Linked DNA regions of Macaca mulatta. The protein of the gene in region 2 interacts with the protein of the main gene of each other region in a pairwise test. Links are inferred from orthologs where the notes say so. Each region holds a gene or a part of one and is shown on either strand. Other genes may lie near its edges. The genes, in order: RPL15, MEOX2, KDM8, SMAD3, IGFN1, TRIM42 and PRKAB2.

Region 1 (3,938 bases), on a different chromosome or scaffold from region 2:
TTGAAACCCCTAGAGAAGATCAGAGAAAATTGGTTCAGAGAAACGAGCATTTAGATTTAAGTCAGTAAAGTCAGAATTTAGAATTGGGCAATTCCTTGTCTACCTTTTCTTTATACTCAAATCCACCCTGGGAAACAGTCTAGTTTCCTGGAAGACATGATAGAAACAGAAATGCAATGTGGTGGTGTACTCAAACTGGGAGCACAAGTGATGGCCCAACTTTGTGGAATGGTAAGGATTTTTAGGGTAGTTTGGCCAAGAACAAGAGAAGTAACTGCACAAAACACATACGGTTGCAAACCATGCGCTTATGACCTTTTCTGTAGCCTATGGGAGTGCACAGAATGGGTAACCCAAGATGTTTTTAAGACTGACTGGACTAAGAATGAGGTACTTATAGCCAACTACTTTCCCCTCTAATGTGACTGAAAGGATTCATAATGATCACAATTAGCATTACGGTTAAATATTTTAGGATTGACTTCTCACACTTGAAAGGTATTTATCTAACGGCCACTGGCTTACCAGCTTCCCACCCTAGCATTCATTGCTAGCTTACCAATCTTAAGGCTAATTTTATCTCACATTCAATTTCAAAACACACCAGTATTAATACCACTACCACGAATCATTGAATTACATGAAGCCACAGCACTGAACTAGGGAGCTTTCACCTTTTTTATGTGAATTTAAAATGGTACTATGAAGGCAGAAGCAATTTTCTTCAGGCTAACCCAGATTTTCTAAAGCCCAGTTAAAAAAGTCTGTACCTGTCAAACTAAAAAAACCCAGCCACTTGAAAGTAAACCAGCACAGCATTGCCATCACCAACAAAGCTGCAGGTTTCATCACATGCACCAGACAAATCTACAGGGCTAGTTTCAGTTCTCTTAAAGAATTTATTTTAAACCTATTATACCACAGTTATGTTTTATACACTGACATACAACTCCCTAATAAGATAAAGACAAAAAAGTTTATCTTATTAGAAACAAGATACACCACCACTTATTGTCTTCAAACATTATTGCACTTTAACTTTCTTAATTTGACAAAGCATTCAAGAAACAATCTGCAGACTAGTTTTAACAGACAAATAACACCTGTAAGCAGACATGACTGTCCTAAATTGTTTATTAGGTATGAATTTTACAAACTTTACTTATATTAGCGGTAACGGTGGAGCTGGAGAGTATTGCGCCTTCTCCAAGCTGCCCGGCGAGAACCACCAATAGTGTGGTGGAACTTATGGCCCTTTCCAAGGCCACGGCTCTTTCGGCCTGCAGATGTCAGCCCACGCATCTCCCTGTGCTTGTGGACTGGTTTGGTGATCCACTGGGTGTCAGGATTTCTTCTGATAGCTTTATGGAATGGATCAATGAGGATAACCTCAAAAAATTTGTATGTGGAATCTTCTCCAACCCAGTAAGAATTCAGGACTCTCAGAGCCCCACAGTGGCGTCCAGCTCGCTCCTAGAATAGGAAAAAAGGCCAAGGTCAGTCTCCCACATTGCCCATAGCAGCGAGTCAGAAAGAATTTTAATTCTCAACTCTAGTTCACCACCAGACAGGAGTCTTTTACTACTCAAGTATTTACGAAGCATTTCTCCCTAGACTATCACAAGTATAACGAGATAAAGTAAACTTGCTAAAACAACACACATAAATATAGACTGAAACACACCATTCCCTCTTAATACTCCAGTCCTTACTAATACCTGGGTAACAAAATTTAGGATTTGAGGACCTTATCTTTTTCCAATACAACTGAGAGCTCAGCAACGTTTAGCTTTAAAAATATCTAGTATATATTTTAGGCTGTGCAGGCCACATTTGGTCTCTTCTGCATATTCTTGCCTTTAAAGCTTAGGTTCCACAAGTACTTCCAGTATATACACACGCATTTGTAATAACGACTTACAAGTCTTTCAAGCAATTACTCTTTACCAAGATTAGTAAAAATCACAAACCCTATTTTATACACGAGACAGTTCACGTTAAGTACAATCAGAAGAGTTGCTTAAATGTCTCTCCCACCGTCCCCAGGCAGTATTCAATATAACTGCTACTCAAAACCATTTACCTCTGCAACGGACTGAAGGCTCCGAGCAAACTTTAGCTGGTTAACACCATGATGGACAGGCTTGCCATAAGTTGCACCCTTAGGAACTGGGCGTTTTCGGCCACCACGGCGAACACGAATCCTATATATAACGTAACCTACACACAAACACACACAAAATTAGTGATTTTATAGGAAGCCCATCAGGCTTAAGACTCAATGGCTTGTCATTAACACTCCACCAAAAATACTTCAACACTAAGTTAATGCTATCTAATGGAAAAAAATAAAACACATCCCAGTCTGTCAATGTACTTTAGGTTACTCACACAGGGAGACACACTGTTTGCTTTAGTCTGAACTCATCCAGATTTGCAACCTTTGACGCACTTGCCACTTTAGACAACAAGCGCATAAAGTAACTGACCAGTGTTGCTAGCTCTATTCTGCCAAAGCCCTATGAGAAGACACTGGGGCAGCAGTGTTTTCCTACCAGCTGGTTTCCAACTTTCCTGGAATATAACTTTATCCTAGCATCCAGGCAGTCGATCACGTACCTTGCTTGGCCTTGTAGCCCAGTCGGCGCGCTTTATCAGGCCGGGTGGGGCGGGGAGCCCTGTGGAGAGCAGAGAGCTGGCGGTACTGCCAGCAGCGGACCCTCAGAAGAAAGCGCATGACATCAGACTGCTTCTTTCTCCATAGCTCCTGAATGTACTTGTATGCACCCATCTTGGCTTACCTGTGAAATCAAACTGGGTATTAAATATCATCCGCTTGAAGTACAATAAGACGACCCTACTCGTCCATCTTAGTTCCCCAACAAGCACAAGGAAACCGCCGGGAATGAAAATGGCTCTGCACCAACTGCCGGGGACAGCTAGCCCAACCCCCACCAATGCGCCCACGGAGCCGCGTTCAGTCACCTCCGCAACCCCGGCGCGGTGCTCGGCACGTTTTGGTGGGGCGAATGAACAGAGCCAGAGGTGAGCACCAAGGGGGCGGGTGGCTGCGGCAGGCGGCGTCCCCAAGGGGAACCTGCAAGGAGATGCCGCTGACACAACAGGGCAACGTACTGCTGCGGCCGCCGAGGATTAACTCTCGAGGAAAATGCATCTAGCCCACCCAACCAGCAGTCTCTCTTTAGGCTGCCTTGTCCCGGGCGCCCCATTCGTCAGCCCCACGCCTCCTCCAGGATCCGGGCCCAGCTCAAATTCGCGCCGCCATCACATCTTCGCTCAACCCGCCCCGGGGGCCGCCTCTCCACCCCCTCGCTGTCCCGCATCCTGACTAAACTCTGGCCGCACAGGAGAGAGACCTATCTCGGAGGACGCAGGGTCCCCGGGCCTGGATGGTTGAAGAGGAAGACGATCAACGGCGGATGGAAGAGCAAAGATCTCCAACGCAGCCTACCTGATGGCTGCCGCCAGACGGAAAGGAAAGAGCTGTACTCCCACAATCCCTTTTGGGCTCCTCCCCCACCTCAGCCAACCTCTTTCCGGTGGAAAACTGCGGCCTCCCAGAGCCTCATGGGACATGTAGTTCCAGCATCGCGCCTGGTGGGCGGAGTTCTGCCGAGTGGGGCGCAGCCGCCCCTATTGTCCCGCCCCCTGCCCCGCAGGATTCCAGCCTGAGCGGCCGGGGTGCGAGAGTGGGCGGCGAGGCCTCGGTAAGCGAGCGTCGGTGACTGTCCCGCCGCGAGAAGAGGCAAGTTGGGGTCCAGGTTCCAAAGCCGGTGACCGCGTACCGCGGTGAGCCGCTGTCTTTGAGGTTAGAGGAGAGAACAGGTTTATTTCACGCACCGCCGGCTCTCTTCCCGCGTAGTCTCTGCGTCTCCGCGCTGCGCTGTCGCTCTCTGGCCCCCGCACGACGGGCTCAG
Region 2 (4,292 bases):
TATAATGTGTTACTGGATATTGAAACCTTCCATGAAATATTGGCATTAATATAACTTTTCTTCAGGAAAACTCAAGTATATTGCAAATATTAGATAAATACTATGTCATATATAGTTTTAAATGATTGTTTATATAAATTTTATGATAAACTTTATAATTTTTACCATTCTTGATATCATTAAATAAAGAGGCATCTTCTCAATATTGGATTTTATGGATGTGAACACTGAAGTAGCTGTTATAGGAAAGCTAAGGATTTTTTTTTCCTGTTTTTACTACATTTTAAAAATTTCTCTAAAACCTAGAACATAAAATTCAATATTCTATCTTATTCCAAATATTTGAATAAATTAATATTTAAAAATCTTTATGTAATGATTAATACATATTTAGAAATCCAGAGAAAATTAAAGTCCTATTTAATTCTGGAATTTACCAAGACCTCCTTTTTAGTCCTTCATTTTTTTCCTTTCAAATATTTTCCTTATGTTGTGTTTTCTATAAGAAAACTGGACTTCATAATTTTTGTTGATATTAAATGTTTTGTGTCTCCAATTAAAAAGACCTGTCTTACTACCTTTGCTTTCATTGCATGCCTTTGCAATGACTTCCTCCTTTTCTAACCTTTCCTAAATTTTTCTTCTAGAAAAAGTTCTAGAGCCTGACTGACTGGGGCAGGTTGTAGAGAAACTTCTGGACAGATTGTTAACATCTGACACAATGAGTGAGAAAAAATCCAGCACAGTCACTGGGCAGGTTTAAGAAGAAGTGGCAGCTCTGGGAGATGAAAGATTTGTGTGTTCTTGTTGCTAGTTACCTGCAACACTCTGGTTAAATTCAAATCCATTCATTTGGTAATTGCTTAGCTTCCTCTAAACCAATGTAATGCAAACCAAAAGGACCATTGTGGATGTTTTGGACTGATGTCTGCAGATCATGTGTAATTTTAGTCTGTCTTGTCTGACATTTTCCACAATGCTTTAGTTGACAGCATTGTATTATGTAAATATTTCTGGTTAGGCTTATTGAGGTGGTTGCCTAAATCTCACTTTAAATAAAGCCTTTAATGCTTTCACCTAGAATCCATAGAGAAGCTACACAAGTTGGGGAAGTTTAGTGTTGCTCTTTGTACTTTAACTTTTAATATCAGAGCACATATTGAAACCATAAACACAATGAAAATACAAAAAATATTCCGACGATATTAGAGGACTATAACTCCCCCACCTCTTTTTATTCTTAAAGAGCCAAGGGCGTGGGGAGTGGCAGGAAGAAATATTCTTAAGATCTAAGTCCTGGACGCCATCCTGCTAGTGCTTAAAGCCCCTAGAAACGTGCAACCTGAACAACACCCCCTTTCGAAGTCTAAAACAATATTAGATTCCCAAAGTATCGGCAAAGAAATTCTTACCGTCAAAGACTTGCAGCAGGTTTCAGCTCAGACCCAGACTGAAAAGCTGAGCAGCTGGTGAACAAAAGTTTTAGTTTTTTTTTTTTTTTTAAACGAAGTCTGCAAAACTAATTTCCCTCAAAATAGAGCTCAATTTCCGTTAAAGAAAGCAGCGCTTACAAATCTCAGAATTCCTGATCAACCCCCACTCCACCCCACCTCTAAGCAATAGAAAACAATTCGATCTTTCACACGGATGTTTTTGAGAAGCCACTATTCTACAGCATGACTTACAAGAAAAGAAGATAGTGAGGCTTAAGCAGGGGGACTGGAAGAGGAGGGGGAAGGTTCTGCTTTGGGGACACCTCTCAAAGATTAATCAATACTTTTTCCTAATTCAAACCAGATGTCTAGCCCAGTTTGCTGTACCCATTAATCCCACTAACAACTTCAAAGACCTGCTCATCATCCTCTGGACACCTGAGACAATGAAAATAACGGGGCGACACTGCTGGTGGTGCATTTGGGGCCCCGGGCGGAATAGGTGACTACAGATATTCTCCTGATGCGACAGGTCCCAGATGGGACTTGACTGTTTCTCCTGCTCATTACAGAGCCACTCACTTGTGTGTAAACGACTCTGCCCCCAGCGGACCCTGTCACCCGCCAAACAAGTGGCAGTCTCAAAGCCCTGCCATCGTTCTTGCATGCTTACTGGAGGCAAATTTTCTAATTTATTTTCAGGGATGCAAAGTTATAGCCAAGTGCCCAAGCTTAGTGAATTTTGGGAGCTATCGAAATGTAAGATTTCTCAGTAAATGGGACGGTGGTGATAAGGGATGCGATTAGCGGATTTATTTTTGAGCGGAAGAGAGTGGATTTCTGTAGGAAACTGCGGAGACCTAGGCTAGCTCCTGAGGGGAAAGGCTAGATATGTGCGTGCAATCTACACATCTCATGTGACCGGGACAAAATCGCCTGGAAATATTTTTGACCCAGGAAAATTTCTTCTTGGTGGACAAGTGGCTAGGAAATTGAGCGGGACCAGGAAAGAGGGGGAAGGGAGACTCCACCTGGCATCGCACAAGAGGATGCCAGGGAACAGGCATCTGCAACCCTTTCAGACTCACGCCTTCCTCCCACCCACCCTACCGGGTCCCTCTTGGTTCCGCACTGAGAACTGCCTTTTCCAGGCCATGGTACTCATCCCCACAACCTCAGATCTGGCGTCCCAGCCCATTAACAATCCACCCACAGAAACCAGCTGTGAAAACCTAGGCGCGCTGCGGCGCCCAGGGCACTGGAAGATGCGAAGTTTGAAAAACTTCGAGGATGCGCCTAACTAGCTCTGATCTTTTCGTTTAACCCTATTACTTCTTTTGGGTTCCTGAAAGGCTAGGCATATCCCTAGCTTTTCTGCAGGTGACAGTTCACAAATGACACTGACAAATCACGTTTCCCGGAGAGGAAAGTGAGTAGGTAGGAATCAGGGTGCTGGGTTGGGGGTGGTGTGCGCCGCGCCCAGGCCTCCAGAGTCTGGAGGGCAGAGCTGCTGCCCTCCCGGGCGGGACTTAGGCACTGGCGTGCCGCTTGTAGCCCTGGCAGCCGGCAGTGCTGGGCGGGCGTGGACGCTCTGCGTCTGTCCAGCAGGCGATAGGAAGTGGAACTGGGGAGCGCGTGGCGCAAACTGAGCGGGAGTTTTGGAGGGAGTTTGCATGTGGTCAACTCTGGGCTCCTAAGCCGGCCCCCAGCTCACGTTACACTCTATTTATAACCTCTCAGAGCCATTTCCCCCTGAAAGCAGTTCTCTGGGACCACCTTCTTTTGGCTTCAACCTCTCCCACTCTTGACATCTGAGTAGTTCAGGGAAGCTCTTCCAGGTCCGACTGTTCATATGCAAAGGAGACTGGCCGCTGGGGCTCAGAACCGGGATTATCCGAGCTCTGCAGAAGTGCACGGCTATTGCTTTGGGAGGGTAAAAAAAAAATCATACAGTTTCCAGTGAAAAGTGACAGAGGGTGGTGGCCTTTGGAACCGTCCTGAAGTCTTCTGCCTGGAACCTGAAACTTGCATGCTATGGAACACCCGCTCTTTGGCTGCCTGCGCAGCCCTCACGCCACGGCGCAAGGCTTGCACCCGTTCTCCCAATCTTCTCTCGCCCTCCATGGAAGATCTGACCATATGTCTTACCCCGAGCTCTCTACTTCTTCCTCATCTTGCATAATCGCGGGATACCCCAACGAAGAAGGCATGTTTGCCAGCCAGCATCACAGGGGGCACCACCACCACCACCACCACCACCATCACCATCATCAGCAGCAGCAGCACCAGGCTCTGCAAACCAACTGGCACCTCCCGCAGATGTCTTCCCCACCGAGTGCGGCTCGACACAGCCTCTGCCTCCAGCCCGACTCCGGAGGGCCCCCAGAGTTGGGGAGCAGCCCTCCGGTCCTGTGTTCCAACTCTTCCAGCTTGGGCTCCAGCACCCCGACTGGGGCCGCGTGCGCGCCGGGGGACTACGGCCGCCAGGCACTGTCACCTGCGGAGGCGGAGAAGCGAAGCGGTGGCAAGAGGAAAAGCGACAGCTCAGGTAAGGGCTCACCAGGCACCCTCGAGAGTGCGCGCCGGCCTGGAAAGGGGGCGGAGAGATGCCAGGGGAGATTCTCGCACTACAGGGTGGCAGCGGGGAATATGGGAATGTGTTGCCCTTTGTGGCTTCCCGCGGCCAAATTCGGCGGTGAAGCTTTGGTCCTGATATTTGGGGGACACGTGTTTATCCGAGAGCAATGCATATACAGCCAGCAGCTCTAAGCTCTCCAAGGTCCTAAACTAGTTTACCAGAAGGTTGATAAAAAAGGACAAGTGGCTGTGAAATCGATTGCGAAGCGTGACCTTCCATCC
Region 3 (3,957 bases), on a different chromosome or scaffold from region 2:
GTGACAGAGCAAGACTCCGTCCCTCCCAAAAAAAAAAAAAAAAAAAAAAAAAAAGAACACACACACAAAAGGCTAAACAGGCTTCCAAAGAAGGGAGTCGAGAATAAGATGTGTGACTTGCCAGTTATCTGCAAGAAGAAAAAAGATGTGTGAAGCAGTCTTTGAGAGTGGTGCCACACACTGGCCTTCAAGAGCTCCACGTAAAAGGGTTTATTGGGAGTCGTACAGATAGCCTTCTAGTGGCCAGGTGTATGTGGGTCATCCAGACCAAGATGCTATTAATATTTATGTCTGCATCAGTAAAAAACTGGTGTTATTCCAGGCAAACTCACACCTACCATAACCCAAATGTGGGCCATATGAAAAAGCCTGAGTGGCCTCGTATCTTCACTTTACAAGTCAGTCTCCCAGAGCTCAACAGGTATTGGCCTTCAAAGACCTCTTGTTGATTGGAGAAGGCATTTTTTTTTTTTTTTTTTTAAAGACAGAGTCTCACTCTGTCACCTAGGCTGGAGTGCAATGGTGCCATCTCGGCTCACTGCAACCTCTGCCTCCCGAGTTCAAGTGATTCCCCTGCCTCAGCCTCCTGAGTAGCTGGGATTACAGGCGCCTGCCACCACACCCAGCTAATTTTTCTATTTTTAGTGGCGACGGGATTTCACCATGTTGCCCAGGCTGGTCTTGAACTCCTGACCTCAGGTGATCTGCCTGGCTCAGCCTCCCAAAGTTCAGATTACAGGCGTGAGCCAGCATGCCCGGCCCAGGGAGGGCTTTTTTTTTTTTTTTGGCGGGGGGCTGGGGGATCAGGTATAGAAACAGCTTGAGTGGTCTTATGTCCTGGTTTGTGAACTGGCCTCATCACCTGGAACGGCTTTCGGGGGAAGATCAAGCGTGGGTTGCACAAAACAGCTTTTGAGTGGACTTGATTCAGCCCCTAAATGCTCCTTAAAGTCTTGTCTGCTGGTGTATGAAATGACCTTGCAAAGGTCAGAATATAGGCTGTCATGTCCTAACCTCTTAGAGTGGTTTTTCTCCTGGATTTATAAACAAGACTAAGATGAATCTTATAAAAGGCTTCTTGTTGGCCGTATTAAACAAAAAGGAGCCACGTATAGCCTGTATATAACAGTCTGAAGACTCGGGCCTGGACTTTATAAATTCAGCATCCAGACAGAATTCACTATGCACACTAGCAAAGTGGGTTCCTGGTAGGTTACGGGATATATCCCTCTTGGAAACCACTGCCCTGCCATCCCAGGATTCTTTCAAATTATTTTTATTTTTTTTGAGACGGAGTCCCCTCTCACCCTGGCTGGAATGCAGTGCCCCAATCTCGGCTCACTGCAACCTCTGCTTCCTAGGTTCAAGCAATTCTCCTGCCTCGGCCGCCCGAGTAGCTGGGATTACAGGTGTGCACCACCACACTCAGTTAATTTTTGTATTTTTAGTGGAGACGGGGTTGCGCCATGTTGGCTAGGCTGGTCTCGTGAACTCCTGACCTGAAGTGACCGGCCTGTCTCGGCCTCCCAAAGGGTTGGGATTACAGGCATGAGCCACCGCGCCCTGCCTTAAATTATTTTTAAACATCCACTCCTCTAAAGCACCTCCCTGAGTATTCTTTAAGGTGGCTGGGTGGAACGGCCTCTCCGAGAGCCTCACTGTGATTTGCAGAGGGTCTCAGGGTGGGCACTCTGCGAGCACCATGCTGGTCATGAGAAAGCCTCTCAAAGGGGGCTTCCAGGACAGGTCAGCCTACATCGGGCTTTCTTGGAACAGGCAATCCAGTTATCTAATCTCTTCAATGTTATTATGGCAGTATTCCACAAAACTTGTGCAAAAACAAGAGCTTTGTAAAACTTCCCAGAGAAGTTTGGAATTTTCCAGAGAGCTTTATTCATGGCACAAGGATCCCTTTGGCTCACGAAGGGGCACACAGTCTTGTGTTTGGGTCATCCGTGTGGCCCCAACGCCCGCGCACCTCCTGACCCCGGGCTTGCTCCCGTGTCCTCCCGAGCACGGCGATTCTTACCGTTGCTGGGAAACGCACCGATGCCCATCGTTAAGTCTTACCGAGCTACAAGCACCTTTCCTTAGGGCAGCCACACACCCAGGCCCTACAGGGTCCCACGTACCCCGCATTAGCCTTGAGCCCCCCGAGGCCTCAGACCCCCTTTCCTCCTCAGCGCCTTTCCCGGAGCTACATTTCTCGCGGCTCTTATCTGGGACCTGACGGCTGAATCGTTCCCAGCCGGCCTTGCAGCCCAGAGGCAGCGGCTGATTGCCCAAAACCAGCGGACACACACACACCAGAGCATACAATCCGCGCAGGCGCACTAGGGCTACACCGACTAGACGCCTAGAACCGCGAAAGCGCACAGCAGCCGGCCTTAAGGGCCTGCCCTCACGCATGCGCCAAACCACTGCCAGAAGACGAGCACTACGCACGCGCAGAGCCTTTCCCTCGCTCCAGCAGCGCAGGCCGGCTCAGAGCGCATGCGCCGACTCGAGCAAGCCTCGGGCTTTCCAAGGCGCACGCGCGAGGCCGGGCTTGGCTGCTTCACATGACGCCTGCGCGGTCTATGCCTCTGAACCCGGCCTCTCCACTTCTGAGGAACTGGAGCTGACTCCGCTCTCGAGTTGCTCAGACTAACCTCTCTTCAGCTGGGACGGTGTCGAGTCGCCTTTGGGCTGGCGACTACTCGTTGCTTTTGGTCCGACGACGCGGCTGTCTCCCCCCAGGAGTCAGACGCTAGCATAGGAGTATCGATCGCTCACCGCTCGTCTGATCACGACGCAGTGCCTAGAGGAGTGCCGAGTGATCGATGCCGTGGCCCCGCCCCACTCGCGTTTAAAAGACCAGGGGATGGACAAGACAGAGAAAGGCTGGGCTGTATCCTCCGGGTCCTTCCATGCCAGTGACACCCGCTTTTTCTTCTGCACAGATAACAACTTCGTACAAGGCTGTTTGCATCCACCATTTAATCCCTGCAGCTAGGATTATTAGTTCTCCCTATTTTACAGAGAGCGAAACTGAAGCTCAGTGATTAAAGTGGCCACATACTTGTACTTTTGGAAAGTCAGATCCACAATTACCCACGAGCAAGTGCTACATCCACAGTCTGTTCGAGTGAGAAGGCAAGTGGCCAGAGGACACACTCCTGCCACGTTTGCTTTGATGTCGAGTGGTGCGGGGTCACTGGGACTTTGTGTTTTGAGCACACTCTCCTATGGGCTCCGCCTTTTGCAGCATTGCACAGAGGCATGGAAAGTTATGTTCATACTGAGCTTGGGGTCTGAGTAGGAAACAGGCTTGCTCAAGATCAGTTCATAGATTAGTGGATTCTAGGTACTGTGCTTTAAAAATATTAAGATTGTAGCTATTGTAATGATCATGATCGTCCCTATTTGAGGGAGTATGTTAATCCACTTTCACGCTGCTGATACAAAGACATACCTGAAACTGGGCAATTTACAAAGAAAAAGGGGTTTAATGGATTCACAGTTCCACATGGCTGGGGAGGCCTCACAATCATGGTGGAAGGTGAAAGGCACGTCTGACATGGCGGAACACAAGAGAAGATGAGAACCAAGTGAAAAGGGAAACTGTCAGTCCTCTGAGCCCAAGCCTGCGTGTATACATCCAGATGGTCTGAAGTAACTAAAGAATCACAAAAGAAGTGAAAATGACCTGTTCCTGTCTTAACTGATGACATTACCTCGTGAAATTCCTTCTGCTGGCTCAGAAGCTCCCCCACTGAGCACCTTGTGACCCCCACCCCTGCCGGCCAGAGAACTACCCCCTTTGACTATAATTTTCCATTACCTATCCAAATCCTATAAAATGGCCCCACCCCATCTCCTTTCACTGACTCTCTTTTTGTACTCAGTCCACCTGCACGCAGGTGAAATAAACAGCCTTATTGCTCACACAAAGCCTGTTTGGTGGTCTCTTCACAC
Region 4 (4,286 bases), on a different chromosome or scaffold from region 2:
CAGACGCCCCTGAATTCTTTTGGTGGGGTGAAAAGCCCCGGAGCTCCCCAATGTGCCAGTTGGTTTGTTGTTGTTTTGCTTTTTTTGAATACACAAACTCTCCGAATACTCTTGTCTTGCCCCACTTTTTTGTGAGTTCATTGCTCTGGAAACAAAACTCTTCCATTTACTGGGAATTATCAAATTTCCGATCTTTCTCTATCAGGAGATCCAGCAACACCGTGTTATGTAAATTTCTTCCAAAGATAAATTCGAAAGCACCTCCATTCATTCCTTCAAGAACTCAACAGATGTCCTTGAGGCTCATTTTCTGCCGGGCACTCAGTTCAGAAGGCTCAAAGGATCCCTGGCTCCAGCCATTGTCCAGGTTGTCACTGGTGTCCCCAGCTCTCCATTTCTGAGGACCCACTTCTCCCCCCCCCACACCCTCCTCCGCACACTTTCCCAAGGCTCTCGGCCGGTGTGATCTCACCAACGAGAGAATAAAAACAGCCCAGGGGCGCGGGCGCGGGCGCGGGCGCCGGCCAAGAGCCTTGACGGGGATCAGCCAGCGCGAGGCCAAGTGCGGGCCCCAACTTCCTGGGCCCGGGCCTTCCGCGCGCCCCCTCTCGGGCTCGGGTCCTCTCCAGGGTTCACTCCCGTCCGGACGGCGCTTACTTGCTGCGAGTCCAACCCTCTCCGGCCCGCAACTCCAACCGAGCCGCACAAGTGTGGACTCCGAGAGCGGACGCCTCGGGCCGCGCTCAGCCCTCCCGCCCGAGGCCCCTCTCGCCGCGCGTTTCCCAGGACTTCCTCCCCGCGCCCGCCCGACTTCAGGTCGGGGCCGCGCGGGGTCCCGCGCGCTCCAGCCAGGACTGCCGCCGCCCGCGTTGCCCACGTGGGCGTGCTGGGCACGGGGTGGTGGCCGGCCGGCCGGCCGGCCGCCCTCCCCGGAGCAGGGGGCGGGCAGGGCGCCCGCGGGAGGAGGTGGCGGGGCGCAGGGGAGGAGGCGGAGAGCCCCGGCGGCGAGGGGGCGGTGACAGCGCTTGGAAAGGAGGCTGCACGCGGATTTGCATGAAACACAGACTGGGAGCGGGCGGGAGCGGGAGCGCGGCGCACGCCCCGGGCCGGCCCAGCCAGCGAGCGAGCTAGCGGCGAGCCGGGAGGAGGAGGGTGGCGAGGCGGCGAGGCAGCAGAGGCGGAGGGATCTGCGCATCAAAGCTAGCAAGGCGAGCGAAGTTTGGCCGGGGGTTGGACTTTCCTTCCCGGAGGCGGCACCCAAACAGCTACCCCGTGCGGAAACCCAAACTTCTGCTGCCACTTGGAGTCTCGCGGCCGCCGCCTCCGCCCCGCGTTCGGGGCCTTCCCAACCCGGCACCGCTGCCGTCCGCCCGCCCGGCCGCCCTTCTCTTCGCCGTGGGAGCCGCTCCGGGCGCAGGGCCGCGCGCCGAGCCCCGCAGGCTGCAGCGCCGCGGCCCGGCCCGGCGCCCCAGCAACTTCGCCGAGAGTTGAGGCGAAGTTTGGGCGACCGCGGCAGGCCACGGCCGAGCTCCCCTCTGCGCCCCCGGCGTTCCGTCGAGCCCAGCCCCGCCGGGGGCGCTCCTCGCCGCCCGCGCGCCCTCCCCAGCCATGTCGTCCATCCTGCCTTTCACTCCCCCGATCGTGAAGCGCCTGCTGGGCTGGAAGAAGGGTGAGCAGAACGGGCAGGAGGAGAAATGGTGCGAGAAGGCGGTCAAGAGCCTGGTCAAGAAACTCAAGAAGACGGGGCAGCTGGACGAGCTGGAGAAGGCCATCACCACGCAGAACGCCAACACCAAGTGCATCACCATCCCCAGGTGGGGGCCCGCCCGGGGGACCCGGGGACACGCCGACCCGGCCCCCTGGCACTGCGGGGCCGACCCATTGGGGTTGGAGATGGGAAGAGGGAGAGAGAGGGAGTGAGACTGTGTGGGTGCGTGTGTGTGAGAGTGGGAGCTAGAGCGCGGGCAGGAAGGGGGTGGGGGGACCCCAAACAAAACCATCTCTGCATTTGCAAAGATCAGAGCCCGAGGCTTCCACACGGTACTCTGGCTTCCAGACCTCACATTCCCTTTCCACCTCCGGGAGGGGAGAGCGGGTTGTTGCGGGACTCGGCCGCCCCCACCCTGGGGAGCTGGGGCTGGAAGTTGAGGCCCGCTTTGTTCGGCTCCGCGGGCCGGAGCCCCTCCTCCGCCGCCGCCGCCTCCCGCCCCCGCGGCCCGCGCTCGTGGAGGTGGTGGTGTCTTTGCGTTTCTTTTCTTCAGTCCGGTCTCCCCACTTTCCTCTACAGGAATGCGGTCCGTACAGCTGGGGCTGTGGGTGAGGAGCGGGAGCCTCGTGATTGACAGATTCCTTCTTCGTTCTTTCTTTGCCTTCGGGATTAGCATTTTTATCGAGTATTTTTAGACTCGGTTGTGCCAGTCTCCCGCCCCCTGAGCACGCACGCACTTTGGTTGCAGTGCAATGCTCTGACTTCCAAATGGGAGAGACAAGTGGCAGAAAATAGGGTCTTCTCCCCCACCTCCCACTCCCCATCCCGACTCTTTTGCCCTCCTTTTGGTCCAAGAGATTTTGAGTCCGTGCAGAATGAGGGAGAGGGGCGGGCTGGAACCGGGCAGATAACAAAACACACCCCAAAGTGGGCCTCGCATCGGCCCTCGCATTCCTGTAGAGCCCTCCTTCCCAAAGCGCGCTGCCATCTGTCTGCATCTCCTTTATCCTTCCTGTTGCGCGCTAGCTAGGTCGGGCGGGAGCCCACAGATGGCTGATAGAAAGGGTCAGTGACTTCTCTCCACTCCCCCAGGGCCTTCCTTAGCTTAGCTGTGCCTGGCTGGGAATTGGGGGTGGGGATACCTTGACTTCCTGTCTCTACCTCTCAGCCTCCTTTGATTCTGAATCAAGGGAGAGAGTGTGTGTGTTGGGGGCTGGCTGTTTTGGGGGTCCCAGGCTGCAGAGGAATGAGTAGAAAGCACCAGGGACTGTAAGCCAAAAAAGGGATTGTCATCCCTGCCCCTGGGCCAGGGTGGACTCCATCCTTGGCCACCTGCTTGGGGCAGTTGTACAAGGGCTGCCAGGCGAGTCAGGCAGGCACAAAGCAACATCTGTCCACGGGAACCCAGGGCAGGCCTCCCCTGGAAATAAATGCCACATATGGTGGGAGTGCAGACTTAAATTTTTTTTTTTTTTTTTTGACTGGGTGGATCCAGTCAATAAAGGGGGAGGGAAGGCGGTGTGCTGTCTGGGGAAGTCCCTGGCCGTGTGATCGGGAGCCAGAATTGACTTCAGAGGAGGTGGTGTGATGTGATGGTCAGAGAGACCTGGGATTTGGTTCCAGCTCTGGTTCTTAATTCTTCTGTATTCCTTCGGTGGGGGTGGAGAGGGTAGAGTGGGTGAATATGCTACTTCTCTGTCTGGGGAGGGGTCTGTCAAACCTACCTTCCTCTTATCTGCCTGGGTGCATTGAAGACAAGTGCTTTATGCATTGAAACAGGAAAAAAAATGGTATCAATTATAAAACAGGCAGCTGTGAAAAGTGTTTCACGGTTTACAAAGCACTTTCACATGGTTTTCTGAGGTCCTCAAAACAAGATAGAAAGCAAGCAAGCAAGCAACCAGCCCTGGAAAGTAGATAAGGTTGTTAGGCTTAAGATTATCACGTTTTTAAAGCAGAGGAAACTTTAAAAGAGAGAGGTGAAAAGGCTTGAGTTGTAGACGTGGGATTCTGACAGAATGTGCTCTTTCTGCTGACCCATGCTGCTTTATACTTTGAAGATCCTGAATACATTCTTTGCTGAATGCTAAAACTGTGTTAGCTTGGGGAGGGCCCTGTGGATGTTTGTATGTGCGGTTGCTTCTTTAATCTTTGGGCTGGTGATCGCTTGGCAGAGAGGCCCTGCTTTCCCTTGCCTTGGTAGGAGTTTGTCCTCTGTGGGGCCATACCTTTGGCCTGCCTTTTCCTCTTCCAAAGTCCTGCTGAGACTTTGGAAGCCTAAGACATGTGAACGCTTTGGATGATTCTGAGGGTTCAAGCCAACCTGCCCTGTGGCCTTCTCGTGACTTTGTTAGGACTGAGGCATCTTCTGCCTGCCTGGATAGGACTGAATGCAAAAGCAGATTTTTTTTTTTTCATCTTTTTTTTCAGTTAGGGAAACCCAGTTGCTTGGGTGGATCCAGACAAAATGGATTTTCATCCTTGGATTTTGTGCCCACGCCTCTGGGTCACCTTGTGTCCCTTGGCAACAGCTGCTGCTGTTTTGGTCGTGGGCAGAAAACTAAAGGCCACGTCTTGG
Region 5 (3,500 bases), on a different chromosome or scaffold from region 2:
GATCTCAGAATGCAGTTTGTTTCTTAGGAAACTACTTAGTGGGGCAGGGGACCCTCTTCTCCACTTCATGGATGTGGAAATTCAGATCTAGAGAGGAAGTGAACTGTCCAAGGTCAAGGCAAGAAGTGGAGGGGCCAGGGCTAACAGCTTCATCTCTGGCTCCCAGCTGGGATTTCTGAATCAGGGCTTCTTGACCTTAGCATGATTGACATTTTTTTTTTTTTTTGCCAGATACTTCTTTGGGATTTTTGAGAGGAGGGGGTGGGTTCTGTCCTGTGTACTGTAGGATGTTTAACAGCATACCTGACCTCTTTGCACTAGATGCCAGTAACATCTACCCTCCACCCAGTTGTGACCATGAAAAATATCTCCAGATACTGCCAAACCACCCTAGATAAGAACCACTGTATTAAACCAATCTGAACTGACAAGTTCCTGGCATCCTGGAGCCAGGAGCGGTCTAAGGAAGCTCTGGAAGCCAGGACAATGCTCACCAGGCACCGGCTGGTCGTTCACTGCTGTCCAGGTGTTGCTCCCCTTCTTACGCCTCTCGATCAGGTAGCCCAGGATGTGGGCACTGCCAGGGCCCCTAGGTGCTGTCCATGTCAGCGTGATGCCCTGGCTGGAGGCTGACAGGATGGCTGGCGCGGAAGGGGCCTTGGGGAGAGCTGGGGGCAAGGAAGATTCCAGTCAGCCAGAGGCCTTGAAAGGTGCCGGCTCACGGGGAGCCCCTGGGGGTAGGAGGCACGGGCATCTGGGGCAGGCCACACTCCTCCCGGTCCTGGCGAGTGTCGGGGCTGAGCCAGCCCACCCTAGGTCAGTGTTCCAGCTATTCAAGGGAAGGAATGAAAAGACAGAGAAGGCACCGTGGCACCGTGGCCTCGGAGCCTAGAGCCAGCCCTGAGGCCCCTCCGCCTCCGGTCCCCTGATAGGATGTTGGAGGTGGATGCCCCTCTCTCCCTGGGGCGTGAGACAGTAGGCTTTGCTGGCCCATACCCTCACTCCCGGAGACTCTGTAAAACACTTCCTCATCTGGGTGCCAGATCCGAAATGCAGCTGAGGGAAGGAGTCTCCAGAGTGCTATAGAAGGGCCTCCAAAACCCTGAGCACAGGCTGGTGTCATTCAGCCTCTGGGACAGCCTGCCCTCCCTGGCACAGCGGGGAGCCCAGGAGTGTCCTCCACCCCCAGCCCCAGACTTTTCTCTTACCCTCAGGAGCCACCAATGTCTCCTCAGACTCCAGGGCCTCGCCAGCCCCCTCCGAGGTCACAGCCCGCACTCGGAAGGCATACTTCCTGCCTGGCTCCACATGGGCATCCGTGAAGGTGGTGCTGTCAGCGGGGGCCTCGCCCACCTTCAGCCAAGTGCTCCTGCCAGCCTGCCGTCTCTCCACCACGTAGCACTCTACAGGCTGGCCCCCATCATCCCTTGGGGGCCGCCAGCGGAGGCAGACACCAGCCCTCTGGCAATCCTGAACCTCCATGGGGCCTTGTGGGGGATCAGGCTTGTCTGGGGACCCACAGAGAAGAGCAGGAAGAGGAGGGGTCAGAGGAGCTAGATTGGAACGGCGCCGCTCCCCGCCCCCCTTTGCCACTCATCAGTGGATAAGCCTGCAATGGGGCAGACTGTCCAGAGAGCCTTGGGCATTACCCAGAGGGTCACACACTCTTGAGACGTCCCCACCCCCAACACATATGTGCACCCAGGGATGTGCCATGGAGTGCACCAGCCCGTCCCAGTTCCACCATCGGGGGGCTGGTATGGGCACCTGCTCGGCCCACAGCAGTCCTACCTTGCTGGCACCACTCAGGGCTGGGGACCGCCATCCTACCCAGCAGCTTCCTGAGGGCCCAGTGCATTGGGGTCAGAGAAGCATAATCGGCTCCCCCCCACCCAGCAGGAGCCCGGCACTGTGTTGATCTCAACTGCTTCTTCCTAAGCAGTCTGAGCAGAATTCGGGGTAGGTCTGGATCTTAAACAGCATGCAAATGAGGATCAGAGCCACCAGAGATCACACCCCAGGCCTGCCCTTGATGGCAGGGAGGGCCCACAACCCTGGGGACTCTCAGGCCTTGGTTGGGGGAAGATGGGGTTGGTACCTATGACTTTCAGGGTGAGCTCGGCCTGCACAGAGCCTCCCTCACTCCTCAGCGTCACACTGTACTGGCCACTGTCCTTCCTGCCTGTGCTGGGGAGGCACAGCCGTGTGTAGCGGTCCCCCAGGTCCACCTGGGCCTCCTTGTCACCACTGCCCACCACCTTGGCCCCGTCCTTTCTCCAGGCAGCCTGAACGGGGAGGTGGCTCTGGAAGGGGATCTTCACTGTCACCGGCTTCCCAGCCTTGACCACCAGTGGCTCTCTCAGTTTCTCTGTCACATCTGGAGCAATGGTAGGGGAATCTGGAAATAAAACAAGAGAGTCAAAGACCAGAGCACTGGGCACTGGGGAATGCAGAAAGGAGGATGCAGAGAAGGAAGTCTGGGGGAAGATTAAGGAATCCCCTGCCCTGCCACAAAGGGAAGGGGCTTCATCTGCAGCGGGAGAGACCAGGCTTAGACCTCATCAAGGACTTCCTGACAAGGAAAGAGCTAAGATGCTGGAATAGACAGAGTATGAGTTGGCTTTTTAAATCATCTTCTCTGGGGATGAGATTAGATACTGGCTGCAGAGTAGCCACAAATTCAGGTGTTTTAAAGCAAGGCATATCACCTGGTACAAAGAGACTATGGGACAGGGCAGGGCAGGGCTAGGCCTTACCCTGGACGGTCAGAGTGGCCTCACTCTGCTGGTCACCAGCTACAAAGGTGTACCTCCCAGCTTGGGTCCCCTGCACGCGCGCGATGAAGAGGCTGTGCACGAGACCATCTTGCTTAAAGATGACTCCATCCTGGGCGGTGAGCTGGAGACAGGGCCACAGCAGGAGAAGGTCACCCCATTCCCATCCCCGCTCCTCCAGGCCAGCTAACCAGAGCCCTTTACAGATGCTGGGATCCTGATAACAGCTGTGTGAATGGAATGCTTACTGTGTGCCAATGCTCTCTGTGCTTAGCACCTTATTTAATTGTCTAACAATCTTATGAAGTAAGTGCTATTATTAGTCCCACTTCATAGATGAGGAAGCCAGACTGTTCACCAGCTTGCTTGAGGTCACATAACTGGTAGTGGCAGAGCCGGGATCTGAAGCCAGACCTAGCTGATACTGAGCCTCATGCCCTGAGTCACTTTGATGTTTCTCTTGGGGTGACAGCTTTAATGGAGGACAGGGAGGTTGTGCAGGGAGACGAGGGCCCCCTTCTGGTAGGGATGAGAAGATGGCATTTATACAAGCCTTTGAAGGATGGGTAGGATTCAGCAGGTATGGGTATAGAAGAGGCGTTTTGGATGGTGGAAGAACAAGGGGTGTGCTGCAGGGCGTAGGATACACATCATTTAAAAATCCAATTTTATTTTAAACACACCAAGTTATTGGCTATTTAAACTTCTCCTGAGGTGGATACATTA
Region 6 (3,500 bases), on a different chromosome or scaffold from region 2:
GACATTAGCTGGCTAGTAGCAAAGGGATGTAATTACAGTGGCCACATTTACTGAATGCTTACTATGTACCAGCAGTTAAGCACTTACATGGATTATCTCATTTAGACTTTATAAAAACCTCACAAAGCAAGTAGTATGGTGAGGTTTGATTTATAGTTAAGAAAACTGAACATGAGAGAGGTTTAAAAAAACATCTCAGAAGGTACAACTGTAAAGTGGTGCATTTTTATCACACACGCTCTGCCTCTAAAGCCCAGATCCATTACCATTACCTATTGGTCTGGTTGGCAGACCACACAGGTTCTAGGCTTGGCTCAGGTACAGACTTGCTCTGTGTTCCATCTATGTACAATAAATAATGTCAATGTCCTCCAGGGGAAAAAAAAAAGCCCTAAGAACACACCTGTAGTTGGACAAGATTGTATTTATTGACTCATTGCAACAAGTGAGAATATAAAGCATGGGAAAGTGTAAAGTACCTTGAAAAGTTATTACAGGATTTGAGCTCATGTTAGGTGAGGACACGGGAGTAAATCTATTGAATATTTTAATAAATCTTATCTAGAAGGTGGGAAGAACAGAATGACCCAAAAGCTGCTGGAAAAAAAAGAAAAAAGAAAAAAACAAAACAAAACAGTTTTTTGGTTTAAAAAAATCAACCAGGATAGGGGGATGTTGGGTCATTTTCGTGATTTAGACAACGTTCTTGTCTGAGTCCAAACATTATAAAGTGGCCTTGTTTCTGCTTTGATCCAAAGTCACAGAGTAGCCTTGTCTGATACTGTGTTCTTTGATATTACCGATGTCCAACGGAACACCAAGGCCTAGCTGACAACGCCTGACCAGTCTCTGCGGCTTTTCCCTTGCTTAATAACAGCAAGCAGTTGCAGCACACTGACTGTGTACCATGGACTGCTCTTAGTCCGTACGAGCATTAAACTCAATTTTAATCTTCTCAAGAAACTCTGACATGGGTACTAATTTTATAACAAGGAAATAGGCCGAGAGGTTAACTGGCTTACCTGAGGTCACCCCGCTGAAAAATGGTGGAGACAGGTTGAGAACGCAGGCACCTTGGCACTCAGCTGAGGCTCCTCACCACCACCCTAGACTGCCCCTCAGAAACCAAGAGTTCTTTCAGAGGTAGAGAGGCAGAGCAAGCTCTTGAGCCTGCCTCCTGAAACCCTGCCTTTGCTTCTCCTTTCAGCTCCAAGACTGCCCTGCGCATTGGGAGCAGCGATACCCAGCTGGATGAAGTGAAATCAGTACCAGCCAAAAGCCACCTGGTGAACCACCTCAATTGCCCCATGTGCAGCCGGCTGCGCCTGCACTCATTCATGCTGCCCTGCAACCACAGCCTGTGTGAGAAGTGCCTGCGGCAGCTGCAGAAGCACGCCGAGGTCACCGAGAATTTCTTCATCCTCATCTGCCCAGTGTGCGACCGCTCGCACTGCATGCCCTACAGCCACAAGATGCAGCTGCCGGAGAACTACCTGCGCGGGCGCCTCACCAAGCGCTACATGCAGCAGCACGGCTACCTCAAGTGGCGCTTTGACCGTTCCTCCGGGCCCATCCTCTGCCAGGTCTGCCGCAATAGGCGCATAGCGTACAAGCGCTGCATCACCTGCCGCCTCAACCTGTGCAACGACTGCCTCAAGGCCTTCCACTCGGATGTGGCCATGCAAGACCACATCTTTGTGGACACCAGCGCCGAGGAACAGGACGAGAAGATCTGCATCCACCATCCATCCAGCCGCATCATCGAGTACTGCCGCAATGACAACGAATTGCTCTGCACCTTCTGCAAGTTCTCTTTCCACAATGGCCACGACACCATCAGCCTCATCGACGCCTGCTCCGAGAGGGCCGCCTCACTCTTCAGCGCCATCGCCAAGTTCAAAGCAGGTCCTCCCCTTCTCCACTCCTTCAGCCTAACTTCTAGTTCAGGAACACATGGGGAAGATGGCGTGGGGCAATGTGCTAAGTGAGTGCCTTAACAGATTCCACCTAGTGGAGCAATCAAGGCACCAGGAAACACTGTGCTATCCTGCAAGTCACTATCCTGGTGTCCGCTCCTGGTAACCACTACCAGTCACTTAACTTCTCCGTGCCTTGCTTTTCTCACCTATGAAATAGGGGAATAGTAGTGACCCCCTCACTGGATTGCCATGAGGATTAAGTGAGTTACTCTATGTAAAGAATGCAAAAAGTCATATGACAAGTGCATAAAGATTCTATAATCTTGATTATAATCTGCATGTCCTCAGGTCTCATTTTCTCTTTTGGAAAATGAAGACTTTGATCCTATAGTATACTGACGTTCTGTGATGTTCTAAGGTGTTCTGTCACTGTTGGATCGCTTTGGTTTTCCTAAATGTGCAGGGGGAAAGAATTAAGTCAGTGCTGAGAATTATCTCAATGTTAAATTTCCCTCCATGAATTTTTTCCAAAACTTGCAGATGCCAAAGTAAATAAACTGGCAGCAAACATATAACAACAGGGACAATTCATAACTAGCCAACGGTATTCTAGTCAACAGCTTGTTTTTCCTCTGCATTCTTGTTCGTGGTGATTTGGTTGTTTTATATTGTTACATATAATATTGCTTTAAGTGAAATAATATTTCAGTGATGGTTTCAGTGATGGAACCAAGCATAATAATATTTCACAGGATTCAGCAAAGAGCCCATAATTTCTTGTTTCAGTGACAAAACCAAGTATAATCATATTTCACAGGATTCAACAAAGAGCCGCATAATTTCTGGGTATGTCTCTACCTGGTCAGACATTAGAATCCAAAAGATTCCTTTAGTGCCCTTTACCCTCAGGAATAGTTCCTTGTATAAAGGCCAACTTTACTCAGGCCTGTGGAGCACATTTTGTCTAATCTCAATAGTGCTACAGTACAGGCATTAAAATGTCCTCCATGGATAAGCCAACTGTGGTTCAAAAAAATAATTAGGACAGGCAGCTAATAAGTGGCAGATGCAGTCTATTTGACTCCAGTGTCCACCATTAATTCCACAACATTTATTTGACAATCTACTCTGTGCTAAGCAGTGACCAGAATCTGAAGATGAAGAGATTGAAGGGGAGGAAGGGGGAACCACCACCACCATCCATGGTCTGTTTCATTAAGGAGTGGCCTGCAGTCAGTTACCAAAGTGCACCAGATCAACCCAGGCCTTTCCCATTGTCAGATCTGTTAGTCTCCAACATTCAGATAGGCCTATACATTGGGAGGGAGGCAGCTTTTCCTTGAGCTGCACAGAAAGGTCCCACTGGATATAAAGGTGGATCCAAAACAGACTTTGCTAATGACCACATCACCCCTGACTTCTCAGCAGCTTCAGGAATACCTCGAGTTTTCTCAGTTGCCACATACCTGGAAACATTGCTTGTCAATTGACATTTATTTAATTCTGGAACCACCACCAGGGAATACTTCATATTAAAGGAACCCTGCAGGAGCCACATGTTATCAAGAAAATGGTAGAACT
Region 7 (4,264 bases), on a different chromosome or scaffold from region 2:
CCCAGTTCCCTGGGAAGTGACGAAATGATAGGAAACATCAAACACACCCCAATCTCCTCAAGCCCTCCATTTTTCTATCTCATCCAGTCAGTCTACCTGGAGAAACTACATGTATTTCATGCTGACAGCTCTAAAAGCGATTAGAAACATTAGAATGGTAATCGCTGCTATCAGCTCCATCTGTCCTTTCTTACAGAGTGAAAAAACAAGTTGGCTCTTCCTGAAAGTCCTTGGAATTGAGAGCAAGGTCTTCAAGGCAGCTATGGATTGTCGCTTTTTAGCCACGCAACATTTTGAAGTACTACTGGAGAGTAAACAAGTCGTGGAATCATTGGCTCTTCCACCTGCGGAGCAGCAGCGGGGCGTGAAAGAGGCACAGCCTCAGCCACCACAACTATAAAGTATGGGACAAAAATTAAGCAGTCAACCAAATGATGTCCTTAATTGATCCCCAAGACTAGGGGAAAGTATTCAATAAGCAAGTAGTTGCTGCTTACAGCCGTGCCAAAAGGGAAGAAGATCACAAGTGCAGAGCTGCTAGAAGGGCAAAAATGATACTGATACATAGAAATTTTCAGAAAAAGAATTTCATGTAGCCACCTCAGGGCAAAGGTGAGAAACTACCACCTATGGTCAGCAACTCGTGCAACCTACCCTCTGAAGTTGTCCACCAGGGCTAACAAACTACAAATTCAGCAACGCTATAGAGGAGAGCCACTCGTGCATGTTAGGAAGAACCAAGGATCGGGGATGTCTATTGTCCCCATCCTAAAAATGTGGCCAACAGATTAGTCAGAACACCAGGAAAACAAGAACTCCGCCTCTTTATCCTATTTTGAGGCGGCACTGCAAGAGGGATTACCATCCAACACCTCTGTCCCCGAAAAATCCTTTTAATTCAAAAAACCATAGCCCGGTTCGGCGCGGCAGAAAAGAACCAAGAAAGGGAAGAGGAGCCCGGAAATCAACCCGCTGCAGTACTGCCACCAACTGCGGGCGTGGGACGCTTACCTTGGAGTCGGGGAGGCTGAACACGCTGGGGTCGTCCGTACTGCCCACCATGATCTTGTGCTCCTTCCCCGGGGCATGACCGCCTGCGCCCTCGGAGCGTGCAGCCTTGGCACCGTGGCGCTCCCCGGACACCCGGTCGCTGGTGGTGTTTCCCATGGCTGCAGCTCGTCGGGGACCACCTACCGCGGAGAACCACACCGGGCTGGGAACACCTCAGTAGCCGCGTCAGGGGCGCCCCCCGGCCCCGCCCATACGCCTTGGGACGGGGCAAGGGATTTCCCCGCCCCAGGGAGGCCAAGCCCCGGAGCCTTCTCCCTCCTGGCCTGCGGGAATGCCTGCAAATACCCCGGTGCCCTCGCTGCCCCTAGTCAGGAAACCCGCTATCGGGACTCCCCCGCGTCCCCGCGCTCACTGCCAGGGGCGCCCCCACGCCAGTCACCTCGGGCGATGCGCTCCCTCCTCCAGGGACCACTGAAGTGATGACTGTTCTGCAGATCAGGCCACCAATAAAGTTATTGAAATTGAAGCCGCACCCCTCGCTGGCGATCAGCGATTCCTCCTAAAATGGCTACAAGGCCGGCGGCGCGGAGTCGGCCCCGTGCGCGTTCCCTGCGGCCTGCAGCCTCGGCGTCCCGGGCCCGCCGGCCTCTCTAGCCGCCGCCGCCTCGATGGTGGGCAGTCGCACGCAGCCTCCAGCGCCAGGAGGGGGCGCCAGGCAGGGCTTGTGCCGCCTGGGGAGACTGCACCCGGGATAATTGGAGCGCTGGGCCTCTGAGACTACCCGGCGGAAGGGACGTTCCCACAGGACACTCGGAGGCCGCCTCCCTGGGCTCCGGCGCTCGGTGCCGGGAGAAGCGACGCGGCTTTCTACCCCGCCTCAGGTGCGCCAGCACGTTTTCTGGGCAGCATCTGTGTGTTAGGCGACGGGAGAGGGGGGTTCCTTACAGGGAATAAGAAAACTGAAACTGACTTCCAACTGCAGGCAGAAGGAAGCAATGGCCATTGCTGGAGGTTAAAACTGTTCTGGCCGGGCGCGGTGGCTCACGCCTGTAATCCCGGCACTTTGGGAGGCCTAGGCGAGCGGATCACGAGATCAGGAGATCAAGACCATCCTGGCCAACAAGTTGAAACCTGGTCTCTACTAAAAGTACAAAAATTAGCTGGGCGTGGTGGCGCGCGCCGGAAGTCTCAGCTACTGGGGAGGATGAGGCAGGAGAATAGCTTGAACCCGGGAGGTGGAGGTTGCAGTGAGCCGAGATCGCGCCACTGCACTCCAGCCTGGCGACCGAGCGACACTCCGTCCCTCCGCCTCCCCGCCCCCCCCCCACAAGAAAAACCTGCTCAATAGGGAGCGACAAGGAAGGAGCTGTCAGCCCGACTGGGGTCGCAGGGAAAATTCAAGATGGCGTATTTAGGAGCTAGACCTTGACAAATTAGTAAAATGTTAGTCTTAGGAGAATAACGAAAAGGCTTTCCTAGTCTAAGAAACAGCATATGCAGTGAGAAACCTCAGAAGAAATAAAATTCAAGGAAGATGGCGACAACGAAAACATCAGAAGGAACCCTAAAGGTATAAAAAAGGCAAAGACAGTCGTAGGGTTGGGAGGGATCCAGGTTTTTTATGAAAATTAGTGGAATCCCTAAGGTACTTACCTTTGTATTAGAAGTATTTGCATGTCGCCTTCTCTACTAGAAACGTTTATCTGTGTTACACAGACCAGCAGCGTTGGCATCACCTGGGAGCCTGTTAGAAATGTAGAATCAGGCCCCATCCCCAGGGTTCAGAATCTGCATTTTAACAAGATCACATTAACGTGTGTGAGAAGCAATGCTTTGACAGCTGGCAGAGAGCAGATCCAGATTTGATACCTTTTCATATTCTGCATGTACCTTGTACAGAGCAGGCTTTTGTATTTGCGGAATGAAGGATACAGGAATACTGTTTACTGTAATCCATTTCTATCAAGATATGCCACTTAGGCTTAAACACGGCCAATGATGGAGAACCCCAAGTTACATAGGCCACCCTTTCTGAGTGAGCAGCTCTATTTGTTGAAAAGTTCATTTTTATATTATGAAGTTGACAGCCCACTTAAGTACAACAAATTCACTACTCCCCCATTCTTTGCTCTGCCCCTTATAAACTCATTCTTTGGCTCATAAACCGAAGACAGTTTACAGGAAGGAAAAAAAAAAGGTACGATTTTACTGCAACTTCTTGCTCACCCCTCTGAAATCTTTACTGTCTGAGTACATTCTTTTTGGTTATCCCTACCTTTCTCCCTCCACCCCTCAATTCCTTACCATAGGACACTGAAGCAAGGCCCTTCAAGGTGTGATACATTAAACCTTGACTTGTGTAGTATTCAGTTTTCTGACCCCAAGGTGGTTTCACCATGCCAAATAATATGTCCTTGGTATGTATTTCCTTGCAGTAGTGAAATCAGCTTAGCAGAAACAAACTAACTATGTTAGCCAATGGAAAACTGAAGGAGAGAAATAAACTGTTTTTACACAGCTAAATGGAAATGACTTTTGTATTATCTCCTTTGGAAGATTATCCATGACACTGTTCTGCCCTGCTCTGCTCTAACAACATTTGTAAGTTACTCAACAGTTAATAATAAAAGTCAATTTTGAATATTGCATGTTTTAGACACAGAACAAATGTAATATGACACTGTAGGAAGAATGAATTCTCCTTAGTCCCAAATTCCTTTTTTTTTCTTAGATTCAGGAATAAGTAGGTAAAGATACAAGATCTTCTTAACCAGTATCAGTATAATTGTTCCCTTTAGATTTATTGCTGTCACCCCAATGCTCTTCTTTCTTTTTTTTTTTTTTTTTTTGAGACGGAGTCTCCCTCTGTCGCCCAGCCCAGGCTGGAGTGCAGTGGCGCGATCTCGGCTCACTGTAAGCTCCGCCTCCCGGGTTCACGCCATTCTCCTGCCTCAGCCTCCCGAGTAGCTGGGACTACAGGCGCCCACAACCGCGCCCGGCTAATTTTTTGTATTTTTAGTAGAGACGGGGTTTCACCGTGGTCTCGATCTCCTGACCTTGTGATCCGCCCGCCTCGGCCTCCCAAAGTGCTGGGATTACAGGCGTGAGCCACCGCGCCCGGCCCCAATGCTCTTCTTTCTAAAGGGAAGGAAAAGAAGGGGCTAATAGGAAAAGTAATTGGTGGGGGTTGTCCTGATGTTACTGTGTCTAGGACATCATTGCCACTGGTCTCCTCAGATCGACCATTCTGCCT

Evidence for each region.
Region 1: the proteins of MEOX2 (region 2) and RPL15 interact in binary tests that used the Homo sapiens proteins (3 or more experiments, as listed by UniProt). The two-hybrid records come from large-scale screens. The link is inferred for Macaca mulatta from reciprocal best matches to the Homo sapiens genes MEOX2 and RPL15.
Region 3: the proteins of MEOX2 (region 2) and KDM8 interact in a two-hybrid assay, tested with the Homo sapiens proteins (2 studies listed by BioGRID). The two-hybrid records come from large-scale screens. The link is inferred for Macaca mulatta from reciprocal best matches to the Homo sapiens genes MEOX2 and KDM8.
Region 4: the proteins of MEOX2 (region 2) and SMAD3 interact in binary tests that used the Homo sapiens proteins (3 or more experiments, as listed by UniProt). The two-hybrid records come from large-scale screens. The link is inferred for Macaca mulatta from reciprocal best matches to the Homo sapiens genes MEOX2 and SMAD3.
Region 5: the proteins of MEOX2 (region 2) and IGFN1 interact in binary tests that used the Homo sapiens proteins (3 or more experiments, as listed by UniProt). The two-hybrid records come from large-scale screens. The link is inferred for Macaca mulatta from reciprocal best matches to the Homo sapiens genes MEOX2 and IGFN1.
Region 6: the proteins of MEOX2 (region 2) and TRIM42 interact in binary tests that used the Homo sapiens proteins (3 or more experiments, as listed by UniProt). The two-hybrid records come from large-scale screens. The link is inferred for Macaca mulatta from reciprocal best matches to the Homo sapiens genes MEOX2 and TRIM42.
Region 7: the proteins of MEOX2 (region 2) and PRKAB2 interact in binary tests that used the Homo sapiens proteins (3 or more experiments, as listed by UniProt). The link is inferred for Macaca mulatta from reciprocal best matches to the Homo sapiens genes MEOX2 and PRKAB2.

The regions. Positions count from the first base shown.
Region 1 is NC_133407.1:24,558,344-24,562,281, forward strand, and holds RPL15 (large ribosomal subunit protein eL15), read right to left. Parts: upstream 2,801-3,938; 5' UTR 2,792-2,800; coding exon 2,620-2,791; intron 2,221-2,619; coding exon 2,084-2,220; intron 1,474-2,083; coding exon 1,168-1,473; 3' UTR 377-1,167; downstream 1-376.
Region 2 is NC_133408.1:112,580,303-112,584,594, forward strand, and holds the start of MEOX2 (homeobox protein MOX-2), read left to right. Parts: upstream 1-1,492; 5' UTR 1,493-3,467; coding exon 3,468-3,981; intron 3,982-4,292. UniProt on the Homo sapiens protein: Mesodermal transcription factor that plays a key role in somitogenesis and somitogenesis and limb muscle differentiation. Required during limb development for normal appendicular muscle formation and for the normal regulation of myogenic genes.
Region 3 is NC_133425.1:26,749,625-26,753,581, reverse strand, and holds the start of KDM8 (bifunctional peptidase and arginyl-hydroxylase JMJD5), read right to left. Parts: upstream 2,801-3,957; 5' UTR 1,568-2,800; intron 1-1,567. UniProt on the Homo sapiens protein: Bifunctional enzyme that acts both as an endopeptidase and 2-oxoglutarate-dependent monooxygenase.
Region 4 is NC_133412.1:44,588,101-44,592,386, forward strand, and holds the start of SMAD3 (mothers against decapentaplegic homolog 3), read left to right. Parts: upstream 1-1,486; 5' UTR 1,487-1,608; coding exon 1,609-1,814; intron 1,815-4,286. UniProt on the Homo sapiens protein: Receptor-regulated SMAD (R-SMAD) that is an intracellular signal transducer and transcriptional modulator activated by TGF-beta (transforming growth factor) and activin type 1 receptor kinases.
Region 5 is NC_133406.1:58,868,472-58,871,971, reverse strand, and holds part of IGFN1 (immunoglobulin-like and fibronectin type III domain-containing protein 1), read right to left. Parts: intron 2,899-3,500; coding exon 2,757-2,898; intron 2,399-2,756; coding exon 2,099-2,398; intron 1,509-2,098; coding exon 1,209-1,508; intron 669-1,208; coding exon 495-668; intron 1-494.
Region 6 is NC_133407.1:43,688,760-43,692,259, forward strand, and holds part of TRIM42 (tripartite motif-containing protein 42), read left to right. Parts: intron 1-1,207; coding exon 1,208-1,905; intron 1,906-3,500.
Region 7 is NC_133406.1:118,946,336-118,950,599, reverse strand, and holds the start of PRKAB2 (5'-AMP-activated protein kinase subunit beta-2), read right to left. Parts: upstream 2,801-4,264; 5' UTR 2,665-2,800; intron 1,497-2,664; exon of another isoform or gene 1,451-1,496; intron 1,191-1,450; 5' UTR 1,168-1,190; coding exon 1,012-1,167; intron 1-1,011. UniProt on the Homo sapiens protein: Non-catalytic subunit of AMP-activated protein kinase (AMPK), an energy sensor protein kinase that plays a key role in regulating cellular energy metabolism.